3 linked regions of the Cricetulus griseus genome follow. The protein of the gene in region 1 binds, or shares a complex with, the protein of each later gene. Links are inferred from orthologs where the notes say so. Each region holds a gene or a part of one and is shown on either strand. Other genes may lie near its edges.

The links.
Region 2: Nup85 (region 1) and Nup107 share a complex: the UniProt entries of both Homo sapiens proteins name them as parts of the nuclear pore complex. The link is inferred for Cricetulus griseus from reciprocal best matches to the Homo sapiens genes NUP85 and NUP107.
Region 3: Nup85 (region 1) and Cetn3 share a complex: the UniProt entries of both Homo sapiens proteins name them as parts of the nuclear pore complex. The link is inferred for Cricetulus griseus from reciprocal best matches to the Homo sapiens genes NUP85 and CETN3.

Annotation. Positions count from the first base shown.
Region 1 is NC_048600.1:128,167,474-128,171,123, reverse strand, and holds part of Nup85 (nuclear pore complex protein Nup85), read right to left. Parts: intron 2,157-3,650; coding exon 2,035-2,156; intron 216-2,034; coding exon 81-215; intron 1-80. UniProt on the Homo sapiens protein: Essential component of the nuclear pore complex (NPC) that seems to be required for NPC assembly and maintenance. As part of the NPC Nup107-160 subcomplex plays a role in RNA export and in tethering NUP96/Nup98 and NUP153 to the nucleus.
Region 2 is NW_023276806.1:138,600,052-138,603,701, reverse strand, and holds part of Nup107 (nuclear pore complex protein Nup107), read right to left. Parts: intron 3,498-3,650; coding exon 3,395-3,497; intron 741-3,394; coding exon 580-740; intron 1-579. UniProt on the Homo sapiens protein: Plays a role in the nuclear pore complex (NPC) assembly and/or maintenance. Required for the assembly of peripheral proteins into the NPC. May anchor NUP62 to the NPC. Involved in nephrogenesis.
Region 3 is NC_048595.1:302,231,487-302,235,592, forward strand, and holds the start of Cetn3 (centrin-3), read left to right. Parts: upstream 1-1,298; 5' UTR 1,299-1,416; coding exon 1,417-1,433; intron 1,434-2,629; coding exon 2,630-2,765; intron 2,766-4,106. UniProt on the Homo sapiens protein: Plays a fundamental role in microtubule-organizing center structure and function. As a component of the TREX-2 complex, involved in the export of mRNAs to the cytoplasm through the nuclear pores.

The sequences.
Region 1 (3,650 bases):
TGAGACACTGAGACCCCAGACCTACACGTTCCCTGATCCCTATCTCCCAAGGCCGGGCAGGCAAGGAGGCTCCCACATACACTGAGAATGGGCATTGTCCTCATCAGGTCCCCAAGGATGCGGCACATGCTTGCACAGGAGGGGTTGGCATCAGCTTCTTTGGACAGCATTTGTCGTGCCTCATCCAACCGGCCCTGAAGCACCAAGACAGTCACCTGCAAAGAGATGGGAGCCAAGAGCCCCCAGCAGAAGGCTCGCTACTCCAAAGTGCTGATGCCTCCAGGCTGCCCTTGACCCGAGTCAGCAAGAACTCCTCCCTTCCAGCAGTGACTCCCAGTCATACCCTGTGCTGGCTGATTTTAAAGTAGCTTGACATGGGCTACAGTCATCAGAGAGGCTAGAACCTCAACCAAGAAAATGCCTCCATAGCATCAGGCTGTAGGTAGGTGGAAAGCATTTTCTCAATTAGTCATTTATTTGGGAGGGCCCAGCCCATGGTAGGTGGGGCCATCCCTGGGATGGTGGTCCTGAGTTCTGTATGACAGCAGGCAGAGCAAGCCATAAGGAGCAAGCCAGCAAGCAGCACCCCTCTATGGCCTCTGCCTCAGCTCCTGTCTCCAGGATCTTACTCAGTCTAAGTTCCTGCCTTGGCTTCTCTCAATGCACTATTACTCTGGGCTATGTAAATTAAGCCCTTACCTCCCCAAGTTGCTTTTGGCCATTGTATTTCATCACAAGAATAACAACCCTAAGATATGACTCCTTTAGCAAACTGTCAGTTTAAAGATAGCTGGCAACCAACTTTAAATGTTTTAACACCCGTGTGTGTGTGTGTGTGTGTGTGTGTGTGTGTGTGTGTGTGTGTGTGTGTGTGTGTGTGTACAGTTGTGTACCATGAGGAGGCCAGAGGACTATCAGGTGATCAGCACTTATGACTTAGTCCCTAGAGACAGGATCTCTCACTGAACTTAAGAGTTAGGCTGGTGGCCATCCCCAGCACCACATCACTGGGAACATAGGCAACCACGCCACCCAAACCTGTCAAAAACAACAACAACAAAAATTCCAGACCAGTAGGGCTACATAAGGAGACCTTGTCTCAAAACCCAAAGCAGACAGGCAGTGGTGTCACAGCCTTTAATCCCAGTACTCAGGAGGTAGGGATCTCTGTGAGTCAAGGTGTCAAGGCCAGCCTGGTCTACAGAGAGTTCCAGGACAGACAAACACACACAGCAAAGAAACCCTGTCTCAAAGGAAAACAAAAAACAACAAAAAACCAACAGCAACAACAACCAAAAATAAAACAACCAAGGATATTCTTTTTCTTTTGGTGATGCTAGAGATTGTGATCTCGAAGATGCCGGCAGGTATTCTAGGATGCCACAAGCCCCTGATCGGTGGTTCTCAATCTTACTAATGCTGGAACCCCAGCCATAAAATTACTTCATTGCTACTTCATAACTGTATTTTGCTACTGTTATGAATCCTTGTTTGTTTGTTTGTTTGTTTTTGAGGCAGGGTTTCTCTGTGGCTTTGGAGGCTGTCCTGGAACTAGCTCTTGTAGACCAGACTGGTCTTGAACTCACAGAGATCTGCCTGCCCCTGCCTCTCGAGTGCCGGGATTAAAGGCGTGCGCTGCCACCACCACCCCGAGCTACAGTTATAAATCCTAATGTAAGTATCTGCTATTTACATTACGGCCCTAAGCAGTCTACCTCAGAACAGCCACTGTGCTCATCTGCACTCCATCCCCACCTTAGTCCCCATCAACCACTTTGACCATCTTACCTTCTCTTCCTCAGCTCTATAAACAAATCAAACTTCCTTTCCAACAGCAAGTGTTACCCTTCATGCTAAATTAGTTTGAAACTACTCTGCAGCAGACAAAGAAAGATGTAAAACCGCTGCTAGGATCAGAAACTCAAAAGAGCCGAGCCAAGGCCTGGAGCAGTCGTCATTCTATAGCCACCTGACAGCACCAGGATGCAGAATGCAAGGCAGAAGGAAGGAGGGGGCTGCCCACGTTATACTCACCAAGTTCCAGAAGCTCTCATGTTTGCTTGGGTTCTCACTGCCCAGAACATCTGCCGATAAACTGTCTACCTCACACACGTGCAGTCGGACCCAGTCAAGAAGATGGAGGAGGAGAGGACCAGCTGAGGGGAGAGACTCATGTCACACACAAAGACCCCGGCTTCATCTGCAGCAAGTTCCACTTTACTCAAAGTACAGACACTGATGTTAAAGCAGAAAACCTGACTGCAGAGGGGTTTAATCTCCTGCAACTGGGAAGGAAAAAGCAAGGAGCTTACAAGTCAGTCCTCTGTCTCTGCAAGGCAGGACCATCTTGTTTTAACTTAAGAAAAGCAGTGTGGGAGAGAAAGACGCCACGCTACAGGGTTCAAGCAGAGGGTTTTTATTAGGGAAAGGGATCATAAAAAGGGGAAAGAGGAGGGGGGAGACTGGCTCCAGGGACAGGAGCAGCAGGAGAGAAGAAAGTGTGACAGAGGGGGAAGGGGAAAGAGGGGGATGAGGGGGAGGGGAGAGAAAGAAAGAGAGAAGGATGGATGTAGGCAGGGCCCTTTGGAAAGGGACCATCAGGTGCCTTTCCCATCACCACACCATCACCTGGTCATGTTTGATAATCTTGTGCCTCCAGTTCTATGGCCAACAGCTGGTAGTGCTGCCACAATGGCTGATTAAGAATGGTCAGTGGGAGCTGGAGAGATGGTTCAGAGGTTAAGAGCACTGGCTGCACTTCCAGAGGTCCTGAGTTCAATTCCCAGGACCCACATGGTGGCTCACAACCATCTGTAATGAGATCTGACACTCTCTTCTGGCCTGCAGGGATACATGCAGGCAGAACATTGTATATATAATAAATAATGGTCAGTGACTCTCCAAAAAACATTCCAGTGGGAGCAAGGAGGTATAGACGATGACACAGCTCCCATGAGTGAGGCAGAGAAGTAAGACCCAAGGGTCTGCAATTCCTAGCATCCCAGGAATTCAGACAGGGTTGATTTTGAGACAGGCACAGGCCTCCCAGTGAGGCGTCACTGAAATGTGGGGACCAAGGGCTCTGAGCTCAAGAGACACACAGTCCCCAGCTACCAGGACTTCGAGAAAAGCCAGAGGGGAGGAAAGGACCATGCTCCAGAAAGGAAGCCTCACGTGCAGGGCAATGGTCAGAAGTGGATAACCCCACCAGAGACCAATGGTTGGTATTGAATGGAAGGCAGAGCCATCAGTGAATGAAAAAGCAGCTTTGCGGCAGGTGGAAGAGCGGGTCTATTGAAGGTGGAGCAGGAGGGTGAGGTTCAAGCACGCAGTGATTACAAAGTGCCGGGAAGAGCATTTTTGGTCGGCTTATTCCCAGTGAGTGGAGCAGAGCAAGACCCAGTGGCTTTTGTCAAGCAAGGATCTAGCAAGAAAGGCACAAGCTGCTTGGGTGAATCGTCAATCAAGGGGCAGGGTCTGAATGGCCTGAGGTTCTGAGAAACCAGACAGGCACAGGCCACCCAGTGGGTCATCACACAAAGGTTGGGGGCTAAGAGCTCAAAGCCAGAGCGAGCTGTGGTTTCTGATACCAGGACTTAAGGAGGCCAAAAGGGGAGAAATTACACTCGAGAGAGGAGAGGATTCCTCAC
Region 2 (3,650 bases), on another chromosome or scaffold:
GGCTGGAGAGATGGCTCAGAGGTTAAGAGCACTGAGAGGTCATGAGTTCAATTCCCAGCAAACACATGGCGTCTCACAATTCTCTGTAATGAGATCTGGTGCCCCCTCTTTTGGTGTGTAGTATACATGCAGGCAGAACACTATATACATAAATAAATAAATCTTTAAAAATAAAAAAGAAAGGAAAGAAAAAGTTCCAGGCACCACACACGTCTATTCCTGCCTAATCAGCAATGGACAGACACATGTCAACGACAAGGTCATGGCATCAATCCTGTAAGTTAGTCAGCCCTGCATCACAGGGGAACTTAGATGAATCATCATCACTTTTGGAAAAAGTTCAAGTGCTGGAAAGATGGTTCAGCAGGGGTTAAGAGCACCCACATGGCAGCTCACAAGTATCTGTGACTCCAGCTCCAGGGATTCGGATGCCCCTGGCCTCCACAGGCCCCTGCACTCACATGCACATCCCCACTAGCACACACCTACACACAATTAAAAATGAAAAATTATACACGTAGTCAAGTTCCAAGAGTGAATCGGGAAAATCACAAAGACTAATTCTCTGTTCAGTCTCACCAGATAGGCTCTGATACACAAATGCTCTCGGATAGCATTGTCATCTTCAGCAGGAAGTGGGCTCTCCATGCCTTGCTCCTCCCACTGATTATAGATTTCTGCAATGGAATCTTGAGGGATTTTTACAAACACTTCTTTTGCAGCTTCATGTTTCTTTGATGCTGTGAAAAAGAAAAAAAACAAAAAACAAAAAACCTCAAAATATATGGACTTCTATATACTGTTGTCCTGGAATTCACCATATAGATCAAGCTGGCCTTGAACTCACAGAGGCCTGCCTGTGCCTCTGCCTCCTAAGTGCTGGGATTAAAGATGAGTGATACCATATCTAGATTGTCTGTGTACTGGCCTCTTACAGTATCAAATCACTGATTACATGTTTATATTTCAGTTCTCATACCTCTCCAAAGGTCTTGGAGATATCTCTAGTGGGCTGGCTCTTTCCCAGTGTAAGGTAACACAGACAGTTACTTTCACATACATCTATGTCTTAGAGAAGTGACATTTCCCAAAGTCTGAGGCTATGACACTATATACAAAGCTGATTACTACAGCAAGAATTTACTATTAAATGGATTTGGTTTCATGATACAAAGCCTGACAGAATAGTTGGTTTTCTCCCCTTTGGTGGGACTAGAAATTGTGGGCTGCATCTTCCCCCAGATACACGCCTGCTACATAAGCCCTCCCAGTATTGGGGAAGCCAGTTCTTCAAGGTTTAACTAGTAACACAGCAAAGCCAGAGTTCCATCTAGAACTTTTTTTGTTTGGTGGGTTTTTTGTTTTTCTTTTTCTTTTTTTTTTTTTTTAAGATTTATTTATTATATGTTCTGCCAGCACGTATGCCTGCAGGCCAGAAGGCATACGTGATCTCATTATAGATGGTTGTGAGTCACCATGTGATTGCTGGGAATTGAACTCAGGACCTCTGGAAGAGCAGTCAGTGCTCTTCACCTCTGAGCCATCTCTCCAGCAAGGAAGGCTTTCTTGGCTGACGGTACCATTTTTAGGATGACTGTAAGCAAGTGCCTGTGATTTTCAGGTTGCAAACCATGTTGGAAAGTGTCCTAATTTCTTTTCTGCTGCTATGATAAAATAGTCCAAGAGAAGGCAACACAGGGGAGAAAGGTCTACTTTAGCTCACAGTTCCAAGTTATAATACACAAAACAGCAGAAAAGTCAAGGCAGCAAAACCTCATAACAGCTGGTCATCTCATATCCAAACCAATGCATCACATCACACCCATAGTTAGGGGTGCAGAGAAATGGATGCATGTGTCTCACCCACAGTCAGGGGTGCAGAGAAATGGATGCATGTGTCACACCCACAGTCAGGGGTGCAGAGAAATGGATGCATGCATACTCTCTTGGTTGCTTGCACTCAGCTCAAGTTCTCTACTGCAGTACAGTCCTAGAAGTTCTGCCTCAGGAATGGTGAACTACGTAACTGCTTCTTAATCTCTGAAGCATTAGTTTTTCTTTTCTTAGTTCCTGTTTCTAGGCTGTCACAAATTTGGTATTGTGGTTTATTAATACAGTTTTGTTTGTAAGACGTAGTTTTATTTTAGGACATTACTAAATAATGGATTCCCTAATGGTTCGTAAAGTCAATTTACTCTGAGACTGAACAACATGAGGAAACCTTTATAATGAGTACCTGGATGGGATTCCTGCACAGCTTTGCTCAGCTGTTTACGCTAGCATATGGCCTGCTACATGGGGATCGATGCTATGCACCTCTTTGTGGGAATTCTCAGCCTTTTACATGCACGTGAAGTGTGGTCCTTGGTCAAGTGTTCCTGTTTGGAGATATATTTCACAGCTTCTGCTAAAGAACTACTTACTGACTTGGGGCTGTGGAAGTGGCTCAGTTGGGAGCACCAACTGCTCTCTAGATGACCCAGGTTCAATTCCCAGCACCCACATGGCAGCTCACAACTGTCTGTAACTCCAGTTCTAGAAGATCCATGGAACACATATATGCATGCAGGCAAAATACCCATAAACATAAATCGTAAACAAACAAACAAACAAACTACTGACCCAGGAGACCATGCAACTTGTGCTTTGTAAGAGTGAGGGCCTAGCTGAGGGGACGTCTCAGCAGGTAAAGATGCTCATTGAGAAGCCCAACATGGTGGAATGAGAGAAGTTGTAAGAAGAGTAAACTGTCCTCTGACCTCCACACATGCACCATGGTACACACATACTCCCCACTCAAAAACAAATACTAAATAGATGTAGTAACAACAAGCACCTGTCACTGATAATGGGCAAAGGTCAAAACTGTGACTTTAGTATTAAAGACTGAGTATGTTAGAGATAATTAGCATAGGCCTGTCATTATCAGGTTACTCAGTGTTTACACATATGAGTGTTCTGCCTACATGAATTATGTGCATCATGTGTGGACCTGGTACTCACAGGAGCCAGAAGATCCCCTGGACCTGAACTATGGATGGTTGTGAGCTGCCATGTGGGTGGTGGGAACTGAACTTGGTTCCTCTTCAAGAGTAGCAAGTGCTCTCAACTATGAGCCAGCTCTTCAGCCCCAATAAACAGTTACTGAACGAACAGATGACTACTTAATGCTGTAGTCAATTCAGATGGCTTTCCAATGGATCACTGGATCACTGAGGGTACACAGGTGGAGGCAACTGATTGCCCAAGAGCACCCTGCTCCCTGGTACTAATGTAAGCTATCTCAAGTGTCCCTCCTTCTCATTTATTTATGAAATATATGAAATGTTCTGCAAAAACAAAAGTTAAAAGAAAAGAACATATGGATCTGATAAAATGTGAGAGGACAACCCACCTAAGAACTTTCTCATGATGGCGTTGCCCTGCTTCAGTGCTTCTGCCCTCTGTGCTGGGTCGAATACCAGCCAGTCAATCACATCCACCTTTACACGGTCCTCCTGGTCATCGGAAGCAGAGAAAACCCATTTATTTCAAAGCTATCTTGCAAATGAGTGGAAGTTACAACACACTCTAAATGGAAACATTTTCCCCTCATGATATAAAATTATGAAAGAAGCCAATGTTCCTCTGTTCTACTTAACAGCTCTCCA
Region 3 (4,106 bases), on another chromosome or scaffold:
TGTGTGTGTGTGTGTGTGTGTGTGTGTTTGTGCCACAGTCATGGCACCTGTAGTCAGTAGACAACTTTTTGGGGTTGGTCTCTTATTCCACTATGAGTTTCTAGCAGGTTGCAGGTGGTGGAGATCAGACTGGTATAGAAGTGCTTTTAACCAATGCACTATCTTTGCTGGTCTGTTTAAACTTCCCTTTTAAAGGCGTAACTAAGTAGTAATAGTTTGTTTCTTTTACTTCCCAGGAGTCTGAAATTTATGTGTTGTAAGAATAAGCTTAATATTAAATGAGAGCATTTTTATCGATTTATTATTTCTATCAAGTTCCTTTGAAAAAAATCATCTCACATTACCAGGCAGTGGTGATGCATACCTTGAATTCCAGCTCGTGGGAGACAGAGACAGGAGGATCTCTGAGTTTGAGGTCAGACTGGTCTAAAGACTTGCAGGATATCCAGGGATGTTAACACTGAGAAACCCTGTCTCAAAAAAGCAACAACAAAAACAAACAAAAATTGTCTTGTTATTTTTCTGTAATTTATTCCTTCTAATTTAATTTTGTCCTTTGTTTCAAACATCTTCATGTAAATGGTTTATTTTCAGATTATCTAATAATTTAATATTTAATAATACCAGGTATTTTATTTGGTGCAAACATTCGGTTAAATGGAAAGTAGACTCCTGACTTTGATGCCATTCAGTTTAGCAGGTGAATGATCCAGGTGAGCTTCAGGAGGCCTGGTGGGTAATGAAGACCATGGGCACATAAACAGTGTTCAGCACTAGAAAATACAGGACAGAAGCAAACAAATACATCTCAAATCGCACACAAGTTGAAAACGGTGGTTTAGGTAGTTTTTCTGTAAATAAACTAACAGACCAACATAATGATGAGCCTACTTTAGTTTGTCTTCGGCCTTGGTGGTGCACATCTTTAATCCCAGCACTTGGGAGGCAGAGGCAGGCGGATCTCTGCGGTTGAGGCCAGCCTGGTCTACAGGGTGAATTCTTGGAATCACTTGGAAACGTTGAAAAGGGAAAACACTTGGTGGCTTAGTAGTTACTGAAATAAGAATGGAGAACAAAGCCCTCAGATTTACGTTTTGACCTTCTGAGTGGCAAGGGCTGGATCCCCAGTGACTGCTTGTGCTGAGCATTTTCCCTTCCCCCCCCAGAGCGCCCGAACCCAGCGTGGTGACTGACACCGGCAGCAGGGCCAAAGGTACTTGATTGACACGAACGGTGACCAATGAGAACAGAGGGCCGGCGAGGCTCCCGCCCCAATGGGCCGACTATTGGCAGTCTTCAGCCAATCGCAACCAGAAATCTCTGTTTGGTGGGTGGTCCCGCGGCCGGGAGGTTGGTGGCTGTTGAGCGGTTCCCGTGGAAAAGTCCTTGGGCGGAACATCTTGGCCGGAAGAGAAAATGAGTTTAGCTTTGAGGTCGGTAACGAGGAGGCCGTGTGTCCATTCCGCAGAGGGCCAGGGCGGGCGCGGAAGGGAAGCCGGGCCGGGCGCGGGTGCAGAGCGCCGAGCATCACGGCGGTGCGGCCCTTTTCTGCGGACTGCGCCGGCGCCGCATCGGGAGCCCAGTCTCGCGAGGTTTCCCTCCTGCGTGTGAGGAACTCGGGCCTGGCGGCCTCCTTCCTTAGGACAAGCGTGGGACAGCCAGGCTCTCTCCGCGGTCGAGGCGCCCTGTGCGTCGGCCGCCCCGGCGGATCTGGTGCCCTTGATTTCCGCCATTCTCGTCCAGGCACCCACCTGGCCCACTGGCTCCCATTGGCTCCTCACCCTGTCCATCTTCACGTGCAGGCGCTGTAGAGTGGGTAGACGCTGATGGCCCGGCGGGGGTGTGGCCCGGCGTGGGTGTGGCGGGCGGCCACCTCTGCTCAGCCCCTGCCAGCCTTCTGCCCTTCAGGTGTAAAGAGCCTACACACTCAGCCGTGTTTCAGGCTTTCAAGCTTCCATTTCTTAAAACCTAGCGGATACACGTGTTGTGCCTCATTTAAACATTGGCAGTCTTTAAGGCAGACGTTTTTGGCCCTAAATCCCTTTTTAGATGTTCTTTTACGCTTCTCCAGAGTTTTTAAATGAAGACGTTTAACCCATTGTTTATAGGTTGAGACTGACAACACTTTTAAACATCACACAGACTCAAATAGGAACATTATATGCTATTATTTTGGTCGTCTAGTATTTGTTTAGGTGCTTTTATATTTTGGCTGGTTAATATGGAATGAAAACACAAAGCACTGTTAGAAATGTATAATCTGAAAGCATTTTGAACTTGCAGTGTTAAAGTGACTCACCTTATAAGCTTTATGGTTAATCTTTGTAGTAATTGTGAGAATTTAATTAGAAGCTGTCCAAGGTAAACCATATATCGTGGTTGTCATTTGTGAAATTTACTTTCACATGGATTTTTATATTTGTTTTCATGCTCTTGGTAGGTAACATGAATAACAACTAATAGTGCTTTGGATTTTGGTATATAAAAGTACATTTGGAGTACAAGACGTTGACTTAGGGACAGCTTCTTTATTCTCCAGACTATTCTGCTTTGTTGAAGTTTAGAAAACCATTCTTTGTTCTAAGTGAGTTGGGTTGAAGTGGACTAAACACATTTTCCTGTGTCACAGAAGTGAGCTTGTAGTAGACAAAACAAAGAGAAAAAAACGAAGAGAGCTCTCTGAAGAACAGAAGCAAGAAATTAAAGATGCCTTTGAGCTCTTTGATACCGACAAAGACCACGCAATAGATTATCATGAATTAAAGGTAACAGTGTATTTGATGACACATCTCTTTTGTTTAAATGAATTGCACTTTTGACTGTTGCTTTAAAGTCTATTTTAAAAACTTGTTTTAGAACCCTGAAGCTGTTTTCAGTATCCACTTACAGGGGCTGCAATAAAATTGAATAAAAAACCCTAATATGGCTTTTAGAAACTCGTATTTAAATGTAAAAGTACATTTGGTGGGAAGTAAGGCTTTTTCATTCACCCAGGTGAAAGAACAGTTCTTAGCTTATTCTTCCCATTTTTGGTTTCTTCTGGAGGACGGAGTAGCTCAGATTCTTTAAAAAAAACATGTATGTGGCATGTGCATGTGCATGTGCCTGTGCAGGCATGTAAACCACATTGTGTAGTGTGTGGAAGGCAGAGTGGGGCTTTGTGTATCTTTCATCACCATCTACCTTACTGCCTGGAGACAGGGCACCTCACTGAATTGGAAGCTCATAGCCTAGGTTGGCTAGAGAGTGAACTCTGGAATCACATCCCGATCTACCCCTCAATGCTGGGGTTACGGACACTTGTAGCCATGCCTGTCTTTATGTGGGTGGTTACAGTTCCAGTTCTGGTCCTCGTGAGTGCAGGACAAGCGCTCTTATCCACTGAGCTATCACTTAAGCACAGCACAGACAATTTTCAGATTGAGAGAGTGTTACCTTTGCTCAGATGTTTCCGAGATTGAAAATGTATCCTTTCAAGCTTTTATTATTTATCTTTATTTTATATTTTTGTTGGACAAGGTTTCTTTATGTAACAGCCCTGGCTGTCCTGGAACTCAGCTTTGTAGACCAGATTGACCGAGAACTCAGATTTGTTTGCCTCTGCCTCCCAAGCGCTGGGATTAAAGGCATGCAACACCACCACCTGGCTCAATCTTTGAATTTTCAAAGATAATACGGACAAACTCTTATTTTTCTTTTCTTTGCTACAAAGGATGTACATTGTCTGATGCCTTATGTTGATACATGCTGAGGGACTATGTCAAATTTAAGGCTTAAAATTACTAGTAAAGGAGCTGGGCGGTTGTGGTGCACACCTTTAATTCCAGCACTTGGGAGGCAGAGGCAGGCGGATCTCTGTGAGTTTGAGACCAGCCTGGTATACAAGTTCCAGGACAGCCTCCAAAGCCACAGAGAAACCCTGTCTCCAAAAACAAAAACAAAAACAAACAAACAAACAAAAAATCCAAAACTACTAGTAAAGATTGGAGAAATTGGTGAGGATCTTATTCAGTCTACTAGCATTTATGAAATCTTTTAGTAGCCTTAATGTTTATAGTAGTTTTAATTCGGCAACATTGTAGGGGGGTTTTAAGCAATCTAAGTAT